Linked DNA regions of Arabidopsis thaliana. The protein of the gene in region 3 interacts with the protein of the main gene of each other region in a pairwise test. Each region holds a gene or a part of one and is shown on either strand. Other genes may lie near its edges. The genes, in order: AT1G65690, IQD6, WAKL10 and UBC34.

Region 1 (4,394 bases), 5.5 Mb from region 3:
TGAGGAAACTTACTCAGATATTTAAGATAGGCCTTGTCCTACAGTTCTTTGTTTGGTAAGAGAATAGTGAATCATGAACTAACTGGCCTCTGAATGGAAGTATCTAAATCAGATAGTGTTGGATACACCGAAACAGATTTAGTGTTAGTATTCTTCGAGTGTTATAACTGATTGAAAAAATCTTGTGAGTTCATATGTCAAAAGATTTAGCTAGTGATAGGTAAGTCAAATACGTAGATATTGGCAGTGTGTAATTAATTATACATGATCACCTCCTTTTTTTCGTAAGAGGGTTAAAGGTTTGATTCATGTCTGTTTTCTTGTTTACACTAAGAGTATGTCAGGTCATGTTGATACTTCATTAGACAAATGTTCTTGGATATTTTTGGTGTGAAGGCAGAGTTCTGTTAAAATGATGGATATTGGAATTAGGATTGAGACCTCTTACTATGTCTTCATCTTTGCAGGAAGGAGTACAACAACATGTGTTGGGTTTGTACATCATCAGAGGGGACAACATGTAATTCTTATCATCCATCATCATCAGTGATTTTCTAACATTGCAATTGTTTTTTTGTTTCAATAAAAAAAATGGTGTCATCTTTGATCAGAGGTGTTATCGGGGAGCTGGACGAGGAGCTTGATGCTAGTCTGGATTTTTCGAAGCTGAGAGCCCATCCGTTGAAACCCGTAGTGCATTGATTGAATATAGTTATGGTGAGAAAATCTAATTCTCTCATTCAAAGCCTAAAAACAAAGAGAAGATTTGATTGTAAACAATTTGGATAGTTTGTTTTGATGTCTGGAGTTGTCTTATTTGTGTATCCTAAGGACAAAAGCTATATGATATTTTATGTCTTAAACGTTTTGGTCGGAAACTTAAATCATACAATCTTTTGGACGGACCTAGGTTTGCTACTAGACCACAAATTCTTTGATTAGAAAAAAAACTTTTATTGTTAACCAAAATTTTATAGATATTCAAATTGCAAAAGAAAAAAAAAAGAGGAATTAGTTTCTGGTATCTTACAAATTATAATGTCGTTGCAATTTCATCTAGAAGGATTATATACATCATCAAATCTATCAACATCAACAAATGGCCGTATTTAAAACTTAGAAGCATCATACATTTTCTATAAGACAACAATATAGATATTAACTTAATATGTCATTCTCCCATAGTCGCATCATACAAGTCGTTGGTTTTGGTAATAACTCGCCAAAACCAAACACTTCTGATTTCATCGGAGTCTTGGGTCTTCTTTTACGATTCCAATGTAATATTCTTCATATTAAGTGATTTATTTCTTGAAATTTTTCATAGTAAGTGTTATCAGAAGCTTTTGATTTTTGGTTATTAATATGAAGAACAAAAGAATTGCGTTCTAAAAATTTTTCGTTGATAACGATTAATATTAAACAGAAACACTACAAATAAATTAACATCGTTGGGGCCTAGGGATTTCGAATGGAATTTTATTTGCAAAAAAAATAATAAAATAAAGCATGTTAACAAAAAAGTAAAAGAAAAAAAATTCATGACGAAATGCATGAGAACACTGCTGCATAAGTCTTAGGGGATTAGGTCAACAAAAGTAAAGTAGATCTTCATCAAATGTATTTTGACTTTATAATGTACCTATTAGTCAAACTATATGCGATCTAAATATTAAAAACTTGTATTTTCTCAAAGACAATGCGAGGCGTAAATATATGAAATTTTATTTTGTAGATTAAGTACCATTTATATATGAAATATAAATAAATCAAGAAGAGTAAACATGAAAGAGCAAAAGAGTAAATAGAAAAAATTATAGGAAATAAAAAGAAACAAATAGTAATTGGAAAATATCTTAAGTGGATATAACTTTTAGTTGTTTGATAATGTATAGGACTACAATATATGTATTTTCCAAAAAGTCATCCTAATTTTTCCATCTATATTGCAAGTAATTTGATACCTACTAATGATTTTTATTTTTTTTATTTGATGGGTTCACATCAAACTCAATTTCCATAAAAGACCGCTACCTAAGCAGACACGCAAATTCACATTACACGTGTGATGTGTTGTATGGAAGCGAATGTACTTGTTTTTCATAATCTATAGGTTCATATAGAGAAGTCTCTCCATTGAAAAGTTCTTCCCTCTTGACTTTAAAAACTCCATAAGGTCCCTACTTATATTAATTTCCCAAACCCCTAAATAAGATCTACAAACAAAGCTTCTTCTTCTTCTTGGTGTCATCAAGATTTTCCAAAAATGTCTCAACACCAAAAAATCTATCCGGTCCAAGATCCAGAAGCCGCAACAGCGCGTCCAACAGCTCCTTTGGTTCCTCGTGGTTCCTCTAGATCAGAACATGGAGACCCATCCAAAGTCCCTTTGAACCAAAGGCCACAACGGTTCGTGCCGTTGGCTCCTCCAAAGAAGAGAAGAAGTTGTTGTTGCAGATGCTTTTGCTACACGTTCTGCTTTCTTTTGCTTCTTGTCGTTGCAGTAGGCGCATCCATTGGTATACTATACCTTGTCTTTAAACCGAAGCTACCGGATTACTCTATTGACCGGTTACAGCTCACCCGGTTTGCACTGAACCAAGACTCGAGTTTGACTACGGCTTTTAACGTGACTATAACCGCTAAGAATCCGAACGAGAAGATTGGAATTTATTATGAAGATGGGAGCAAGATTACCGTGTGGTACATGGAACATCAACTAAGCAATGGTACGTCACTTTTGGTTTACTCCGGTTTGCTTTCTTTTGGTTTTTTAACGTAGGAAGGCTTCAAAATCTCACTACAAAACCGGTTTATTTGGTTGATTTCTGTTCTTTTCCTTTGGTTTGGTTCGTACACAAGGAAGACTTTAAAACTCTTTTCAAATTAGGGATGTCTAAATTTTTTTGGTTGGCTTTGGGTTTACTTTCATTTTGGATTAGGATTGTCAAATACTGTATATCTTTAGTTTCAAACAAAATTTGGTTTAGATAGTTTTTGTTCGGTTCATATTCAATAGTTCGGATATAATAGAGTTAATTCATTCAAATCAATCGTTTTTGGTAGAGTTGGATCATACCGGTTTATCCGGACTGAAAACCCCAAAACTAAACATATTTATTTATGTTGTTTGGTTTTCTTGTTTGATTATAATTCGTTTACACCATTTCAAACCGGGTCTTCTTATAGATTTAACTTCATTGAACTTTTGTGATTTTTTTGAATAGGGTCGTTGCCAAAATTTTACCAAGGACATGAAAATACGACAGTGATATACGTAGAAATGACTGGTCAAACACAAAATGCATCGGGTTTAAGGACGACATTAGAAGAGCAACAACAAAGAACCGGGAATATACCATTGAGAATTAGAGTAAACCAACCGGTTCGGGTCAAATTTGGGAAGTTGAAGCTCTTCGAAGTAAGATTCTTGGTCAGATGTGGTGTATTTGTTGATAGCTTGGCTACCAATAATGTTATTAAGATTCAAAGTAGTAGTTGCAAATTTCGTCTTAGGTTATAGATCCGTTTTTTTTTATATAATTAATATCGAGATATACAGAGGGAATTTTGTCAGATATAGTCACATACTCATATATAGTTCTCCTCTAAAGTACATTATTGTGTCTCAGACCTTTGTTGTATAATAAACTGTTGGTTTAAATTAATATATTAAAGTATACAATACTATGTACATAGGTGGAATTCAAAGTATAGTAGTTGTAAGTTTTTAAAACCAGAGCATGTCCACCACTCCACCTTACCTTCTTTTAAGCAAACAATTGGTTGAAGGTAGACTCCAAAATTCAGTTTTAACTACTTACAACTTAAATTGGAGGTAACTCCAAGATCTTAGTTATGAATTCAAATTTGCATTAGATTTACTTGTTCCAACAATTACTTCTGGTATTCTAAAGCAAAGACCAAACTCAATAAATAAACCTTATGGTAAGACATTCCAAGCAACATGAAAGAGATAATAAAGAGACATAGATATATAGAACAAACTGAATTTTTGCGAGAAGAGAGAGACATGTAGAAAAGAAACGCTAAAAGAACTTACACAAAGAAGATTCATGTACTTAACTTGTGACAGTCCTCTGTAACAATTTGAGAACTATCCTCATGAAGTAAGGTCCTGAATCAAAAGTACAAAGAAACAAATTCCTAGTTCAAGTTATATACCAAACCGAAGTCTTTGTAGTTGTACAACCAGTTTCAGGAGGAAGGCTACCTTTGAAAGGTATTGTAACACTGGCTAGAGAATGAGCATAATGTCGATAATTTTTCTTTTGATGAAAAAAGATTTAGAGAATGGCAAAAAATATAATATATGCGCTCATATTGGTGGTAAGTCATATATCTTTCTATTATTCGTTACTATATCATAAGCT
Region 2 (4,764 bases), on a different chromosome or scaffold from region 3:
GGCTAGCTGTTTTGGTCTTCTTAAACCACCTTGGCTTGAATTGATTTGTTTATGGTCTTTTTTCTTTTCTTCGCTAATCCGTACTTCTTCTATATTCGTCCAATCCCTTGGGCCTTGGCACACGTCTTATTTCATTATTATTTTTTTTATTTTTTTATTATTTATTATTTTATGTCACTCGAGTATGATTCTTAATTTGAATTAATATACAATGAGCCGAAAAACATCTAAAACTATCAAAATGATTCATTTGTACTAAACTACTAATAGGCAGTACTGCTAATAGGTAACGAAAATACGAAGACTTTTTCTTACCGCCATGCAAAAAGTTGACAATGAAGGCGAAGTTGCAAAACCTCAATTGAAGAAAGTTGATTATATCAGAAAAGTCAACAACGGACAAATAATATTGGATATGAAGAAATCCAACCTAGTCCAACAGTAGAGAAACCATAAGTTTAGTCAAATTCCAAAGAAAGCTCCAACAACTAAAGAAGTTAAAAAAGGATTTTGACTATCTCTTCTCTCTACCTTCAAAGATATGTGAAAAACGACCCAAAGCCAAAGTTACACTCCTATGTCTAAAGAATTCGTTTGCCGAAAGTGATCCGCTTAATATGATCTAAAATTATTTACAATAGAGAGTGTTGAATTGATTTAATAGGATATTGCAAATGATGATGAAAATGAGGTGGATTAAATTGTGTTAAAAAACAATAGTTGGTTTTGATTTGCTTTTTTTTTTTGGTATCAGGAATTCAATCTCTGGATTTCATCGTCAATGTATTATGATCCTCAATTGAAAAATGGCAAAAGATTTTATTTAATACAATATTTTTGTGTTCTCTCTTCTAATTCATTTCATGGGTTTCATGTAGAGTCTGTTTCCAATTTATTTATTTGTGTGTTGTAATACTCTATGATTTTGATTTATTTTTAGTTTGTAACATATTGTTTCTATCTCATTTCCTCTTTAAGAGCTATGCCACCACCATTCTGGTTGATTTGTGAGTTAGCACATTAATCGCTAATGTACATCATATCAGAAACAACTCTTGACTCGATTTTTTTTACTTTCATTGTATGTTTAATGTAGTTTTTTCTTCAACATTGGGCCACAATTGGCCGGCCCATTAGCCAGACAAACAACTCTTGGATCGAATTTTTTTCCTTTCATTGTGTATTTCATGTAGTTTTTTTTCAACATTGGGCCACAATTGTCCGGCCCATTAGCCAAATCCCTACATTTGTATCGAGCGGGACTCAATCCCAAGTGTGATGGTGCATGTTTTCGGTGGTACATGTTTTCATGTAATTTTTGTTTTATTATTTTAAGAAGTTATCATCAATTAGAATTAATTGTATATATCTCATTTTCATTGTATAGCTAAGGACCCAATCTTTACAGAGTTCATCTTTTTTCTCTGTCTGATTAATCTTTTTTTTTTATTATGTCTAATTAATCTTAAAGTTGCTAGACAAATAGATTCATGTACAAGATTCACTCAAACTAAATATGAGCGAGAAAAAATAGTATATATATTGAAAACTAAATTTGGGAGATACATGGGCATTTTTTTCGATTCTTTAACTCGTGAATTTAGGTTGTTCTTTTGTCGTTTCAGTTGTTGTTTTTTTGTATCAATCACTCGTGAATTTAGTTTTTTTATGAGAGCATAATTTATTATAATTTGCAATAGAGTTGTAAAGTTTAAATTGCTATAACGCTGTTTTGTGGAGAGTTAAATAGGGTGTTGACTGTTGAGTCATAAGACCAATGTGTATGGTCTTAGAAAGAAAACCTTGTCATAATTATATAAGATAATAAGTTCTGTTATAGAGGTTATTAGACAAGTGATAGGTCTAACCAGTCCAAATCACAAAATCCAAAAGCTAAACATTGCTTTTCGAAAGAGAATGTATTTCGTAAATCTGATTTGCAACATTTTGGGAAGTTTAAATTTCGAATCCAATGATATAAGAATAATAAAACAAAACAAGGTATTACATGAACATGAGTGAGTCACTGTAAAAAGTAAAAAACAACAAAAAGCCTAACATACATATATATATATATTTATTAATTTATTGTACCTTTTCATGGTTTCTTTTTTCATGCCTGTAACTCTGAGAAGGACACAGACACATTTGTTTGTGTAAGTAATAAATAAGTGTGAAAACACAATCAGAGACAAAAGCCTAAAGACTCGAGCAAACTTTTTATTAATATTTTGTTTGTTGCTTTGCTTTGATTTGTTCAAATTTCAAAAACTTCTCTTTAACCCACCACTCCCTCCATTACCACCACAACTTCACATTCTCCGATATTCTCTCTCTCTCTATCAATCTCTCACTCTCAAACTTTCTACATACCTGAAGAAAAAAATAATCTACGAATTCGAGCCAAAAAGATCGAAACTTTTTAATCTATGGGTGCTTCAGGGAAATGGGTCAAGTCCATTATCGGTCTCAAGAAGCTAGAGAAGGATGAAATCGTAAGTTCATTATCTTTTTTTTTTGTTCTCTCGTTCAAAGGTTAAAGCTTTATCGAGAGATACTCTGTTTTCAGGAAAAGGGTAATGGGAAAAACAAGAAATGGAAGCTATGGAGGACTACTTCAGTAGATTCATGGAAGGGTTTTCGAGGAAAACATCGGTCTGATTCAGACGGTGTTGATTCTTCTACTGTTTACTCTGCTGCTGTTGCTACTGTTCTTAGAGCTCCTCCTAAAGATTTCAAAGCTGTTAGAGAAGAATGGGCTGCTATTAGAATCCAAACCGCTTTTCGTGGATTCTTGGTGAGTTTGCTAATTGGTTTTGATTAGAATTGAGAGGAATAGAACTTAGTTTAATTTGAGGATTTGTTGTTAATTAGGCGAGAAGAGCGTTGAGGGCATTGAAAGGGATAGTGAGGTTACAAGCTTTAGTGAGAGGAAGACAAGTTAGGAAACAAGCAGCTGTTACATTGAGATGCATGCAAGCTTTGGTGAGAGTACAAGCTCGTGTTAGAGCTCGTCGTGTGAGGATGACTGTTGAAGGACAAGCTGTTCAAAAGCTTTTAGATGAACATAGAACCAAATCTGATCTCTTGAAAGAAGTCGAGGTTCTTGTCTTTACCTTTTTAGCTCATTGGTTTGATGATTGTTTATTGTTTTGAGATTTGTTATGTTCTCAGGAAGGGTGGTGTGATAGGAAAGGTACTGTGGATGATATTAAGTCAAAGTTGCAGCAGAGACAAGAAGGTGCTTTTAAGAGGGAACGTGCTTTGGCTTATGCTCTTGCTCAAAAGGTAACTAACTTGTCCACATTCAACATCTTGTTTAAGTTCGTGTCTGAAGCTGAATCGGGAATCTTGTTTTGTGTAGCAATGGAGGTCAACTACTAGCTCAAACCTTAAGACGAATAGTTCGATTTCGTATCTTAAAAGTCAAGAGTTTGATAAGAATAGTTGGGGATGGAGTTGGTTGGAGCGTTGGATGGCTGCTAGGCCATGGGAGACTAGACTTATGGACACTGTTGATACCGCTGCCACGCCTCCTCCTCTGCCTCATAAACATTTGAAATCACCGGAAACTGCGGATGTTGTTCAAGTTAGAAGAAACAATGTGACCACTAGAGTATCTGCAAAACCTCCTCCTCATATGCTGTCTTCAAGTCCTGGTTATGAGTTTAACGAGAGCTCAGGTTCATCCTCGATTTGTACTTCAACTACGCCTGTTTCTGGAAAAACTGGACTTGTTTCAGATAACTCTAGCAGTCAAGCAAAAAAGCACAAGCCAAGTTACATGAGCTTGACTGAATCGACAAAGGCTAAGCGAAGAACTAACCGCGGTCTCAGGCAATCTATGGATGAGTTTCAGTTTATGAAGAACTCTGGAATGTTTACAGGGGAATTGAAGACTAGTCCTTCCTCAGATCCTTTTGTTAGTTTCTCCAAACCACTCGGTGTTCCTACTCGATTCGAGAAGCCGAGAGGTTAAATGTGACCTTGTTAGATTGGAGTTTCAACAGCTTGTTGTTGTCTTGTGTGTTGTGAGATATCTGTGTATGTTGTTAATTGTTCTTTTTCCTTTGGAACTACATTGGAGTTTTGAATTTAAATATAAATTTCAGTCTTGCTTTTATTTCACTTGTTTCAAGAATCAGAATCTTTTGATGGTTCTGAGCTTAACCCCGTTCTTGAAGCTGAGAATTATACCATAATCAAGCTGCAGTGGTATCTCCATTTCTAGGGAATGTCTGAAAATGTAATTACGGTAGAGATGCAGTAATGTGAGTTTGATCTCTTGCAGGGCAAATCTCTGTCCAACACAGGCTCGTGGACCGATACCGAATGGGATGAAAGCGTATGGATGTCTATGTTTCTCCTCTTCTCCGTTCGGATCAAATCTTTCCGGCTTGAACTTCTCCGGTTCTGGAAAGTTTTTAGGGTCCTTTGCTAGAACTCCTAGTGCTAACCAAACCCATGTCCCCTAAGCAACAACCACAAGGTAAGTAATAGATTACAAGTGCTGACTGTAAATGGACTAATCCGCTTGATGGGTTTGAATATACCTTTGGGAGTAAATAACCTCCTATCTCCACTTCTTTAGCAGTTTCCCTTGCAACCAAAGGAGAAACCATGTAGAATCTCATAGCCTCTTTAATGACCTACAAAGGAGGCAAATAAAAAACATTCATAAAGATTCTAATCTCTCACAGAAACTCAACTTCTCGGTTTTTGTTTGTTACTAATGAAGCACCTGATCGAGGTATGGAAACTTGT
Region 3 (5,456 bases):
TCCCATGGAGATACTCTAACAAATAAAGGCCGTGTTGATTTAGGTATAGGAGAAAGTACGATTTATTAAATATTGTAGCAGAAAACAATAGAGATAAGTTGGAAACTAGACACTTTTTTCACAAATAATTTGCAAAGTAAGTAGTTTTTTTAGAAATAGGGAGAATAGACACTTTTCTCTTTCCTTTCTAATACAATTTTCTATCTAATAGAGATTTTAGTGAATGACCTTTATAGCCTTCTGTTGTTTTGTCATATAGTCAAATAAAGTCAAAAATAACTTTTGTTTCTTAATGATCTAAGAAGTGGTATACGGTATAGACAGTGTACAAAGTGATGTACAAACGATAATATACAATGATGTATAACTACATAATAAGATGGTGTACGAAAATGTAAAATATGGTGTACATGATATTAATAGTATACATGCAATAATGAGATAATAAATCAAACCATAAATCACCTTGTACACCGTATATAATATCGTACACCTTCACCTATTGTGTACACCTCATATTCAAAAGATAAAACCATTTTTGTCAAGTGATAATATACAAAACAAAGTTTAAATAATAATAATATGAGATTAGTGTACATAAAAGTGTACAAATGTTAGTGTACATAAGTAAAAATGTATAATCATTACTTTCATTTAATGGTATACACCATTATGGTTAATTTAATAGTATACATGATGGTGTACACCATTATATTTTTATTAATTTATGAACAATTATTATTTTATTTTATAAATATGAGATAAATAGAAATATTTTAGAAGATATGTATAAAATGATTTGGTGTATAAGTGTTAGTGTACAAAACTATGTTTTAATGCTGGTGTACGAGAATTATAATTAAAAACATATAAATCATCTTGTTTTTGGAAGAAGAAATTATTTTTTAAAAATAATTTATTTTTATAAAATTCAAAAAGATGAATATGAAAAAAAAAATAACTATAATATAATAAAAATAGTTCTAAATAGTTAAATAATATAAAAAGTTTGACCCATATTTTTTCATATAAAGTAAAAGGTAAAATGGTATTTGACATATTTTTTGTCTTTTAGCTTATTACACATAACCTCTATTTCACAAAAAAAGTAAAAAAAGTGTCTATTTCACAAATTTCTAAAAAAACTACCTACTTCTCAAATTACTTTTTAAAAAGTGTCTACTATTCTAATAAGCCTAAAACAATAAGCTGAGCTAGATTCACTTCTCTATGTTTCTTGCGTTCATGCGTGTGACCTTACAAAAGAAAATCCAAAAAACGCAACTCTGACTAATGTTTCAGCAGATCATAACACATAATAAACATGCATGAGCTCTACAGATACTTGTTCTCTTTTTGATATTTAATTAGCCACGTTTTAATCTAGAGTCGGATTGTGATAGTTACAGTGGAAATTTCTCCTCGCGACCTAAACCAGTCACGTTTTGATATTTTTCTTTTTTCTCGTAAATAAATGGAGGAATATAAAATATTGAAATTCAAACAAGGAGGCTCACTGAAAGCAAGAAAAGCTTTCACTAGGAGGACTAGAGAAACAAAGACTGACCAGAGAAGAAAATATGAAAGCGAAATTCAAAGATGAAGACTTATGATTCATTGCTGGGTCAAACTAAACACAAGATTTTTCCTTCGCTCATCCTTACAAAACCCGTCTCTGCTTTTAGCTTTTCTTGAGCAGATCATAAACAGAAAACATTAATATGAGCTCTAATTGTAGTTGTTCTCTTTTGAGTCTCTTCTCTCTCCTTCTGATCATTGATCTCACCGTTGCTAGCTCTTGTCCTAAGACATGTGGAGGAATCGACATCCCGTACCCGTTTGGAATCGGAACGGGTTGCTATCTCGAGAAATGGTACGAGATTATTTGTGTCAACAACTCTGTTCCTTTTCTTTCCATCATTAACAGGGAAGTTGTGAGTATCTCTTTTTCGGATATGTATCGCCGGTTCTTTAACGTAGGCTACGGGTCAATTCGCATAAGAAACCCAATAGCTTCAAAGGGATGCTCAAGTGGCGGACAAGAGTTTGGATCACTTTTAAATATGACAGGTTACCCTTTTTACCTTGGCGACAACAATATGCTCATAGCGGTTGGCTGCAACAACACGGCGTCGTTGACAAATGTCGAGCCAAGTATTGTGGGATGCGAGTCTACTTGCAGCACAAATCAAGATATACCTATAAATGATTATCTCGGGGTACTCTACTGTAATGCTAGGTATGGCGATTCCGAGTATTGTAAAAATATTTCCATTATGAATGATACAAGCTGCAACGGTATTGGATGCTGCAAGGCAAGTTTGCCCGCTAGGTATCAACAGATTATTGGTGTGGAAATAGATGATAGTAACACAGAATCCAAGGGATGCAAAGTTGCCTTCATAACAGACGAGGAATACTTTTTGTCAAATGGATCTGACCCGGAGAGGCTTCATGCTAATGGATATGATACGGTTGACCTAAGATGGTTCATCCATACGGCGAATCATTCCTTCATAGGCTCTCTAGGATGCAAAAGTATAGACGAGTACACAATTCTAAGAAGAGACAATCGTGAATACGGAATAGGTTGCCTTTGCGACTATAACTCTACAACTACAGGCTATGCAACATGTTCATGCGCTAGTGGTTTCGAAGGCAACCCATATATTCCTGGCGAATGCAAAGGTATATAAGTAATTGCGCTAATTATCCTAGTTTTCTATGACCATGCATGATAAAAATATTCCAACGAGATCATTGTTTGATAACATGTTAATTTTAATAAAATCAGATATTAATGAATGCGTAAGAGGCATTGATGGAAACCCAGTCTGTACGGCAGGCAAGTGTGTCAATTTGCTGGGCGGTTATACGTGTGAGTACACAAATCATCGACCACTTGTTATAGGTAAGTCATGAAAATTTTCATCTCAAGTACACTCACATCTATCTAAAGTTTTCTTTTATATATACATATATAAGATTGTGTACAAATAGTGTTGAGCCATATAGAAAATGTATTTTGCTTTTCATTTTTCTTTTGTGGGTTTGTAGGGCTTAGCACTAGTTTCAGCACATTGGTATTCATTGGTGGAATATACTGGTTATACAAATTTATTAGAAGACAAAGGAGGTTAAACCAAAAGAAGAAATTCTTTAAGCGTAATGGGGGTTTATTGTTGCAACAACAATTGACTACAACTGAAGGCAACGTGGACAGTACAAGAGTGTTCAACTCAAGAGAGTTGGAGAAAGCCACCGAAAACTTTAGCTTAACCAGAATACTAGGCGAAGGAGGTCAAGGTACAGTGTACAAGGGAATGCTTGTAGACGGTAGAATAGTAGCAGTAAAGAAGTCCAAAGTCGTAGACGAAGACAAGCTAGAAGAGTTCATCAACGAAGTCGTCATTCTCTCACAAATCAACCATAGGAACATCGTAAAACTCTTGGGGTGTTGCCTAGAGACAGATGTCCCTATTCTAGTCTACGAATTCATTCCTAATGGTAACCTTTTTGAGCATCTTCATGATGATTCCGATGATTATACGATGACTACTTGGGAAGTGCGTCTTCGTATTGCTGTAGATATTGCAGGAGCGCTTTCATATTTGCACTCGGCTGCATCATCTCCAATCTATCACAGAGACATCAAGTCTACAAACATAATGTTAGATGAGAAACATCGAGCCAAAGTGTCCGATTTTGGTACTTCAAGAACGGTGACCGTGGATCATACCCACCTCACTACAGTAGTTTCAGGCACGGTGGGATATATGGATCCAGAGTATTTCCAGTCGAGCCAATTCACAGACAAAAGTGATGTTTATAGCTTTGGAGTCGTGCTAGCGGAGCTAATCACTGGAGAAAAATCAGTCTCTTTTCTGCGATCTCAGGAATATAGGACATTGGCAACTTATTTCACTCTTGCAATGAAAGAGAACAGACTCTCCGACATTATTGATGCTCGAATAAGAGATGGTTGTAAGTTGAATCAAGTGACAGCAGCCGCAAAAATTGCAAGGAAATGTTTGAATATGAAGGGAAGGAAACGACCAAGTATGAGACAAGTATCGATGGAATTGGAGAAGATTCGTTCATATTCTGAAGATATGCAGCCGTATGAGTATGCTAGCGAAAACGAAGAAGAAAAAAAAGAAACATTAGTGGACGTTAACGTAGAGTCGAGAAACTACGTGAGTGTTACCGCCGCATCATCTCAATACAGCATTGCTACAACATCTTCGTCGCGGTCAGATGTTGAACCATTGTTTCCTCGGTAATATATTAACCATGCATGCAAACAAATTTATTACTACCTCATATCTTTGCATTTACGTTCTGTTTTGGTCTTTACGTGTGAAGTTATTTCTATAAATGTCGTCACTCGTCAATTTGTGTTATTAACCATACAGATCTGTTTGTAACCACTTTGTAGTTTGTACTTTGTACTATACACTTCCCAATACATAAGAATAATTTCATAGTTTACTTCTTTAAATATTTTGGCAATAATTATTACAGAATTTACTCAAGTATTTGTTATCTGGACATGGGCTCTCTTACATAATTATACATGTCCAAAACATAAAACCGTTGAGACTGTTTTTAAAAAAAAATTTATACTACAATTATATGAGAATTTTGTGAATCCGGTCAGATCATGGATCATGTTGAACCTTAATCCGATTCGACTCAATGACCAATTCATTTCGGTTTAACAGAAATTATGTTAATTGACAATGTGATGGAACCTTAACCAACATAATTTAGAAATTTCGACTGATGAAAAGGATCCTTTAGTTTAAGAATTAAGATAGTCAACTTTTCCATTGCACACATATGAATGATTTGCGTTGGTGAATAGTCAATTTCCTGATATTAATAATCTATGTGAATAATCAACTTTGTTATATCATCTGGGAAAAAAAATGATAGTAAAATCGTATAACTAAAATTAAGATTCTAATTATGAAAAATTACAAAATTGATTTGGACAATAAGTTGTGTAAACTTGTAATGATAATTGATCCCTTGACCGTTGACAAAATAGAACTTCCAAATTCCAACGAGACGGCTCAATAATTTCTAAAATAGAACTTTCATACATAAAAGTCATTAGAGAAAAAAAAAATGAAGAGAAGGAGACTTTTTTTCTCTGTTCTACTCTCTATCCTAACTCTGTTCATCAATGGTCCTTTGATAACGACAGCTCAATCTCCACCTTCTTCTTCAACTTCATGTAACCGTATCTGTGGAGGAATCGAGATTCCTTTTCCTTTTGGAATCGGACGAAGAGACTGTTTTCTCAACGACTGGTACGAGGTTGTCTGTAACAGCACCACCTCCGGTAAATCCTTAGCTCCGTTCCTCTATAAGATCAACAGAGAATTAGTTAGCATCACTCTTCGAAGCAGCATCGACAGTTCCTACGGAGTTGTTCACATTAAATCTCC
Region 4 (6,356 bases), about 24 Mb from region 3:
ATCTCAAGCTTTTATCGACCAAACACAAAAAACATCACATTCTCATATCAAATCTACTTACATCTTCACAGCTTTTGCACCGAAAGAAAGGCCTTCCAGGGTTCTTAGCCGTGCTCGATGTAAACATGACGACGTCGAGCCCACATTTACACTTAACAGGAAACCCACGGCTCTTGAAACCTCCAGCTTCAGCATTCGAAATCATTCCTGAATTGCAGCCTCCACTTTCACCACTCGAATTCCTTGAGTTGCAGCTCATAATGCAGATTTGATCGAAAAATTTGAGAGAAAATGATTTTTAGGGTTTGGGTTTTGATTTGGGGATTTTTCAGAGGTTTCGTCGACTTTGAAGTCTGTTGATAGCACAAAACGTCGTCGTATCACCTTAACGGATGTTCTGTAACGTCTGTCAATTACGCTGTTAGAAGGAATTTTAACGGTGGTTAATTAGGCCGAGTCAACGCAAACTTGAATGTTAAAACAGAAGTCAACTTTTTGTTGAAAGTTAAAACGGCCATTTCACGAGTTCACGGTTAATTTGACCATTTTTTGTAAGTTGAGGTATTAAATAACATTTTTCCCACTAAATTATAGAGTTAACATTATTAACCATAAACATAATCACTTTCACTGGACTGGACTCGAGCAGAAGAAGAAGATTGGTAACAAGTCAACGTCGGTGGTTGAAGACAGATTGAACCGGTACAGCCATACCGGTTTTAATTTATCATTAAGTATGGTTTTTTCCTTTTCTTACCAATGGGCCTAAAGGGACAATTGCTTAATTGGCCCAATATACCTAACAATTCTATTCACTATTGTCTGTGTATTCTCTCTGTCACTTCTGTTTTCATCAAGTTACTACACCAGAGTATTTACATAAATTGACAAATTAACCTGTGAGCTCTAGGAGAAGTACAATTTGAAAACCATACGGTTCTATTTTTCAAATCCAAACCATTATCCTCAATTCATATATACTATACAAAGTAGTTCCAACGAAGCTACAATATGTATGTAATTGTGAAACCAAACTTATGTTATCTGCTTTTACAAGCACAAACCATGAGGTGCTAAATGAGTAAATTCAGACGAAGAGCACTAGACAAAAGGAGACTACTCTTGATGCTGAAGAGAGAGAGACACAAGGAGAGATTATACGAAAACCAGGTCGAGGTTTGTTGCATAGAAATCACAGTTGAAGCAGAGGCAACGCCATTACCACACCGAAAACCGACACTAGCAACAGTATTATCCACGCTGGCAATCCCTGTTTATTGTTCTTTTTCCTCTCCTTCAAGCCACCTTCTGAATCTCCCTTTGTTGGATCGATGGTTTTCTCTGACTCGACTTTGGTATCGCTCTTTTGAGGAGACTCTGGTGTTGTCAGTTGTGTGGTAGCTTGCTCAGCTAGTTGCTGCTGGTTGTACTTCTCTACATACTCTGGAAATAGCTTTCGAAATGCTGGGCTGTCACAAGTAAGAACATTGGATTCAGGTGAAATACCGAAAACATGTAATCTCAGGACTGCATTCATTCCTATATTCGTTATCTAACCAGCTTTTATGACTATCCTAACCACAGATAACTAAACTTAGCTTCTATATGAATCCAGAATTTGAAATTTTTTGATGATGGGAAAATCTTACGTTTTACAATTGAAAGCGAGAGATGACTTAGCCAACCGTTGTTTCTCAATTACAGTAGTGTTAACACTTCCAGTTGTCGGACTGGTATCCATCTGCGCCGCAAGGAAAACGTTTAGAGAAAGCTTGAGAACAGAAAAGAAAAAATAGACTTCCTTTTTGAATATTCATATCTAAGCTAATAAACCATTACAATATAAGAATATGAGAATTTTCAAACAAGATGTCCATAAATATGTAGAACCTACAGTGAGCTTACCATAAATGAGAGAAGTCCTGTAAGTATGCTGCATTCATGAAAAAAAGTTGGTTATCAACGGGTATATCGATTGTCATCTTCCAAAAGTAAAGAAAGAATCTATACCTTGATACAGACCACATCGGATTCCAGCTTTCTGGATGAACTGTAAATGCCATGTCAACTTATTTCGATATTAGACAAGTTAATTGATACGAAATAATGAACAGAAAGTGCAGATTGTCCTTACAATCACTCATAGATAAACAAATTTTCTTCTGTGTCATGAATCGACCATTTGGTGTAGTCATTCTGAGGCAAACAGAAAAAGATTTGGTTCATTAAAAAACTGGACAAAAAATGAGGTAAGAGTAATGTTGAGACTGAATTTGGAGGAACCATTGGAACATACGTAATCCCTGGTGGCTTGTAAGGATACTCGGGAGGAAACTTGATCTTTCCATAGTAAAATCCACCTGGTAAAGAGAATTTTAGTATCAAAAATAAGATACTGCGTAAGACAACACTAACAAGAAACTTTCAAAAGAAGATTTTCACCTGCAAAAGGTGTTCCCTCACTGCCTTCCAGCACATAATCTGTAAGATTAATCCAATAGTTTAACTCTATTTTAGTAAGAGATCAAGCTACCCTTTTTAACATACTAAATGCAGTAATAATAGAAAGACTGAAACTCCCTAACCGCTATCAGGCTAACAGTAACACTGACAGCCTTTCACAATTGAGAAGAAAACTATCAAATCTATGCATTGTAAGTACATATAAACCTTTGATAAATAAGTCTTCACTATTCCATCAAAGTAATGTGAGACCTCTTCTGTCTACTTAGATCGTAGTATCCCATTTTTTCTTAGTTTAACGTATACTCACAAGTGTAGCAAATATGTCCATCATATATACTTATCATAACATCTTTATAGAAACGCTTGCAACAGGATTACAGGAAGCCAGCAGGAATAAAGATTAAGAAAAAAAGATAGGGAAGGCTTACGCCACTCGAGAATGTCATTTGGGGAAGGACGAGCAACAACATGGGAGACTGGTTCCTAAAGGCCAAAAACAGAACATATTAAATAACCCCCAAAGAAACAAAAGAAAATATGAAACTTACTCTAAACCAAAACCAAGAAAACATTCACATATAGATACAGCATCATTTGAAAGTACAGAGAAAACTGGTTGAGCAATAAAAATATGGAATCCTGGTTCCAGCTCGAGAGAGGTAGAAAAACAAGTAAAGAGAGTGTACCTTGCAAAGTGCTCTATATTCCTTTTGAAGACGTTTTATACAGGCCTTTTCTGCCATCTACGTGCTATGGACGAAGTGAATAGCTGCAGCAGCTGTTACACCCATTTAACATTATCAACAAAACGAAATACAAATATGAGTGAAAGTCCACCTACTGATGAGATGGACTACATAAAACCCTTATGTCTGAATTACATATATGAACTACATAAAAACATATATCGAAACGAGTAAATTGCAGTTGATTTTCGTGCCATTGATATGGAAACTTTACCAATTGTACTATCTCACAACACATATACAGAGATAACAATACTTCTAGCTATTATGCAATACTTTCATGACCTGATTGAAAAGAAAAACCAACCAAATACACACAAGATCAAATGAAACTTGAGTCAAACAACTCTATGATCACCAGAAACACCCTTTGAATAAAAATCCCCAATTTCCATGAGCTTGGAAAAATCTTTTCACCCAAATCACTGCAAACCAATTGAAAGCAACGAAAATTCAATCGAATTCCAACCAAATTAAAGGAAATTATCTGGAAATCCCTGGAATTATATATCAACCTAGAAAATCCTTTGATTGAACCGAGAAAATTGCAACAATGATAGGCAAACCAAACTCGAATCAGCTGCAATATCTTCCATAAATATATAAGAAAATCACAGATACTTCCACATAAACCGTATCAAAGCAAAGTCTTAAACTTGTTAGAGATTCCAATTGCAATTTCAAGCTTCGCTCTTACCCAGAAACGCAAAGGAACAAGAACAACAAATCAAAAGATAATGCAGCGAAGAAATTCCAAAGTAGATAACATCAGATCCAAGAAATAATTGCGAAAATATGAAAGAAATTGATCACCTGAATCGAATTTTGTCGATGAAGATTTTCTCTCTTGGGGTTTCTCGTTAATCTCACTTTCTCCTTCTCCGCGGGTAGAGAGAGAAAGAATTAGCCTAACTCGCGCTTGGTTTATCTAAACCGAACAAAATTCAACACAAGTTAGACCGGTATTGTATAATCCATTCCGGTTCGTTATTAGAGGATCAATGATTTAATAATTATTTTGCGTAATGCACTTTTCCCTATTTCTTTATTCTCCACCACTCATCAAAGAATCTGTGCCGGTTCTTGGAATCAATTTTTCCTTCTCTTCATGAAATATAAAAAAAATAGCTGCAGAAGAAGAAAAAAAACTAGTGATTAGTAGTGAGACAAAACAGCTGTTACCTGCAATTTTTTCTTTTCTGAAATTGGACTTACACTAATACCTCCAAATTCCAAAGTTATGCTTAAAAAATAATTTCAATAAAGTTAAGTTTCAGCCTCTTTTGAGTTCCCCGATAACAGTAGGCAGAAATCACGTGCTCTAATCACATGACCACCATCTCTTAGTTTCAAAGCAGTTACATGAGTTAGGTAATGTGAATATGTGGATCTTTGTCTCTACATATGATATTGTATCATTGTTTCAATGTAGATGCTTGAGGAATATCATCATCATCGTAAGTAAATGATTAAGAATAAGATAAGTATCTCACCATCTGATTAAATAGCATTAGTCAAAGTAAGATCACGTGATCAGATCCCAATAACTATGTGTTCAAACACACATAAATCTTATTCTATAAAACCAACAAGCTTTAGAAGTCTCTCGTCTCTCTTTTCTCTAACACACATCTCCATCCAAGATTTTCTCAGTTCACAGAAAAACAGAACAAGAAAAAGTCAAGAGGTTTCAAGAGTCCTAAAGGAAATTTCAAGAAGAGAACTCAGAATGAAGAGATGCTGTTCAGTGGCTCTGGTTCTGTTACTTGTAGCTTTCTTTAGCAGCAAGTATAGTGTAGAAGGACGTTCTCTGTTAACGATGACACATTCGAGTCAAGCTGTGAGAGATTTGCCTGTAAGCAAGGAGATGAAGAAAGAGCCACTTAAGGGAGAAAATGATAGCTTCAGAAGAATCCCAAGGAGTGGCTCAAACCCTATACAGAACAAGTAAAGAAGATACGAGACACAATCTAGTTTTTCTTTTTTTTTATGTATCCCCAAAGATGAGTTTTAGGTGTAATTGACATCAAAAAGTGTTTCTTTTTGTATCAGGTGTAATCCACCGGTAGATGTTAAAGCAAGTAGGAAACAACAGCAGATCACAACATCAAGAAAACCTTAAAATTCCAGTTCTTTTTTTGTCCTTATTTAGATCCTCTACTTTCGTTTTTTTTGTAGAATAGGTACCTAGACATGTGTGCTTTTAATGCTGTAATCTACTTGAAATATATGAACTCATCTTTTAATCTTATTGATCGATCAAGATAGGATGAAAATTTAAAACGCCTCCTAGCTCGAGTAGTCTAACTTTCCAAAACTATTCTCAACCTCTTTAATCTTTTGAGTTCTTCTTCTTTTCTCTGCTTTGTGGTTTCTTTTATTTGACTTCAGCAGACTTATCCTCAGCCATAGCATGTTGTTCTCAGTGGTGCTTAAAACCTTAAATATAAAATGATCAACCTCTTTATCTATGTTCTCGGTTCTATATGCTTCAAAAATGCATCCTCAGATCCGTAAAAAATTGAAAGTTGTTCTGCAGGAAACCTCACAATATCCTGACTATTTAGCTGCCTATCTCGATATCCAGTGATTACTCCTCACTGCAAAACAGCAACAATGAAAGAAGTAATCACAGCTGTGAGCACTAGATTCCTTTTGACATGTAAGTTTGTACTTCTCTAAAACACCGATACAGATTGTTGAGATTGTTTACAAACTTTTGGACCAAGAAGAAACAAAGTGGCATCCAACACATTACTCAAAAATGACGTCGTTTTGCTGATCCCATGTATAATAATATTACTGTTATTAGGAAACGCTGAGAAAACCGCCGCCAAAATGACGTCGTTTTGCTGATCCCATGTATAATATGATGAATTTTTCCCACGAACCGGTTGGGCCGGAAGAGAGTCTCTAAACCGTAACTCGGCCCATAATGGCCAAATTTTGTCCAATTTCTAACAGCGTTTTACGCGCCGACTCCGACCAATAAAACACATGGTTTTGTCTGAATAATCCACGATCCAGAAGTTCTTTATCTCCAATTAATTGTTCATTATTATTATTAGTACCAAACTAAATTAAAAAGAAGAAGAAAAAACCACCTTCATTTATTACGACCTCTCTTTAGACAAATTTTTTGAC

Evidence for each region.
Region 1: the proteins of WAKL10 (region 3) and AT1G65690 interact in a protein complementation assay, tested with the Arabidopsis thaliana proteins (one large-scale study listed by BioGRID).
Region 2: the proteins of WAKL10 (region 3) and IQD6 interact in a protein complementation assay, tested with the Arabidopsis thaliana proteins (one large-scale study listed by BioGRID).
Region 4: the proteins of WAKL10 (region 3) and UBC34 interact in a protein complementation assay, tested with the Arabidopsis thaliana proteins (one large-scale study listed by BioGRID).

What each region holds. Positions count from the first base shown.
Region 1 is NC_003070.9:24,430,771-24,435,164, reverse strand, and holds AT1G65690 (Late embryogenesis abundant (LEA) hydroxyproline-rich glycoprotein family), read left to right. Parts: upstream 1-1,999; 5' UTR 2,000-2,266; coding exon 2,267-2,729; intron 2,730-3,227; coding exon 3,228-3,523; 3' UTR 3,524-3,748; downstream 3,749-4,394. Other genes in the region: LSM8 (Small nuclear ribonucleoprotein family protein), read left to right, coding at 1-55, 337-388, 468-520, 612-702. UniProt on the Arabidopsis thaliana protein: Plays an important role in the abiotic stresses-induced abscisic acid (ABA) signaling and biosynthesis. Acts as a positive regulator of ABA-mediated seed germination inhibition. Functions downstream of ABF2/AREB1, ABF4/AREB2 and ABF3.
Region 2 is NC_003071.7:11,142,648-11,147,411, reverse strand, and holds IQD6 (IQ-domain 6), read left to right. Parts: upstream 1-2,308; 5' UTR 2,309-2,429; coding exon 2,430-2,495; intron 2,496-2,569; coding exon 2,570-2,797; intron 2,798-2,874; coding exon 2,875-3,102; intron 3,103-3,174; coding exon 3,175-3,288; intron 3,289-3,364; coding exon 3,365-3,979; 3' UTR 3,980-4,122; downstream 4,123-4,764. Other genes in the region: CYP711A1 (cytochrome P450, family 711, subfamily A, polypeptide 1), read right to left, coding at 4,142-4,471, 4,554-4,649, 4,742-4,764. UniProt on the Arabidopsis thaliana protein: May be involved in cooperative interactions with calmodulins or calmodulin-like proteins. Recruits calmodulin proteins to microtubules, thus being a potential scaffold in cellular signaling and trafficking.
Region 3 is NC_003070.9:29,979,015-29,984,470, reverse strand, and holds WAKL10 (WALL ASSOCIATED KINASE (WAK)-LIKE 10), read left to right. Parts: upstream 1-1,651; 5' UTR 1,652-1,721; coding exon 1,722-2,688; intron 2,689-2,794; coding exon 2,795-2,911; intron 2,912-3,057; coding exon 3,058-4,283; 3' UTR 4,284-4,498; downstream 4,499-5,456. Other genes in the region: RFO1 (Wall-associated kinase family protein), read left to right, coding at 5,134-5,456. UniProt on the Arabidopsis thaliana protein: Serine/threonine-protein kinase that may function as a signaling receptor of extracellular matrix component.
Region 4 is NC_003070.9:5,915,954-5,922,309, forward strand, and holds UBC34 (ubiquitin-conjugating enzyme 34), read right to left. Parts: upstream 4,390-6,356; 5' UTR 4,026-4,389; intron 4,024-4,025; exon of another isoform or gene 3,245-4,023; 5' UTR 3,210-3,244; coding exon 3,153-3,209; intron 2,950-3,152; coding exon 2,895-2,949; intron 2,482-2,894; coding exon 2,443-2,481; intron 2,361-2,442; coding exon 2,297-2,360; intron 2,197-2,296; coding exon 2,135-2,196; intron 2,069-2,134; coding exon 2,011-2,068; intron 1,934-2,010; coding exon 1,906-1,933; intron 1,742-1,905; coding exon 1,650-1,741; intron 1,470-1,649; coding exon 1,193-1,469; 3' UTR 879-1,192; downstream 1-878. Other genes in the region: AT1G17285 (uncharacterized protein), read left to right, coding at 4,762-5,159, 5,265-5,334. UniProt on the Arabidopsis thaliana protein: Accepts the ubiquitin from the E1 complex and catalyzes its covalent attachment to other proteins.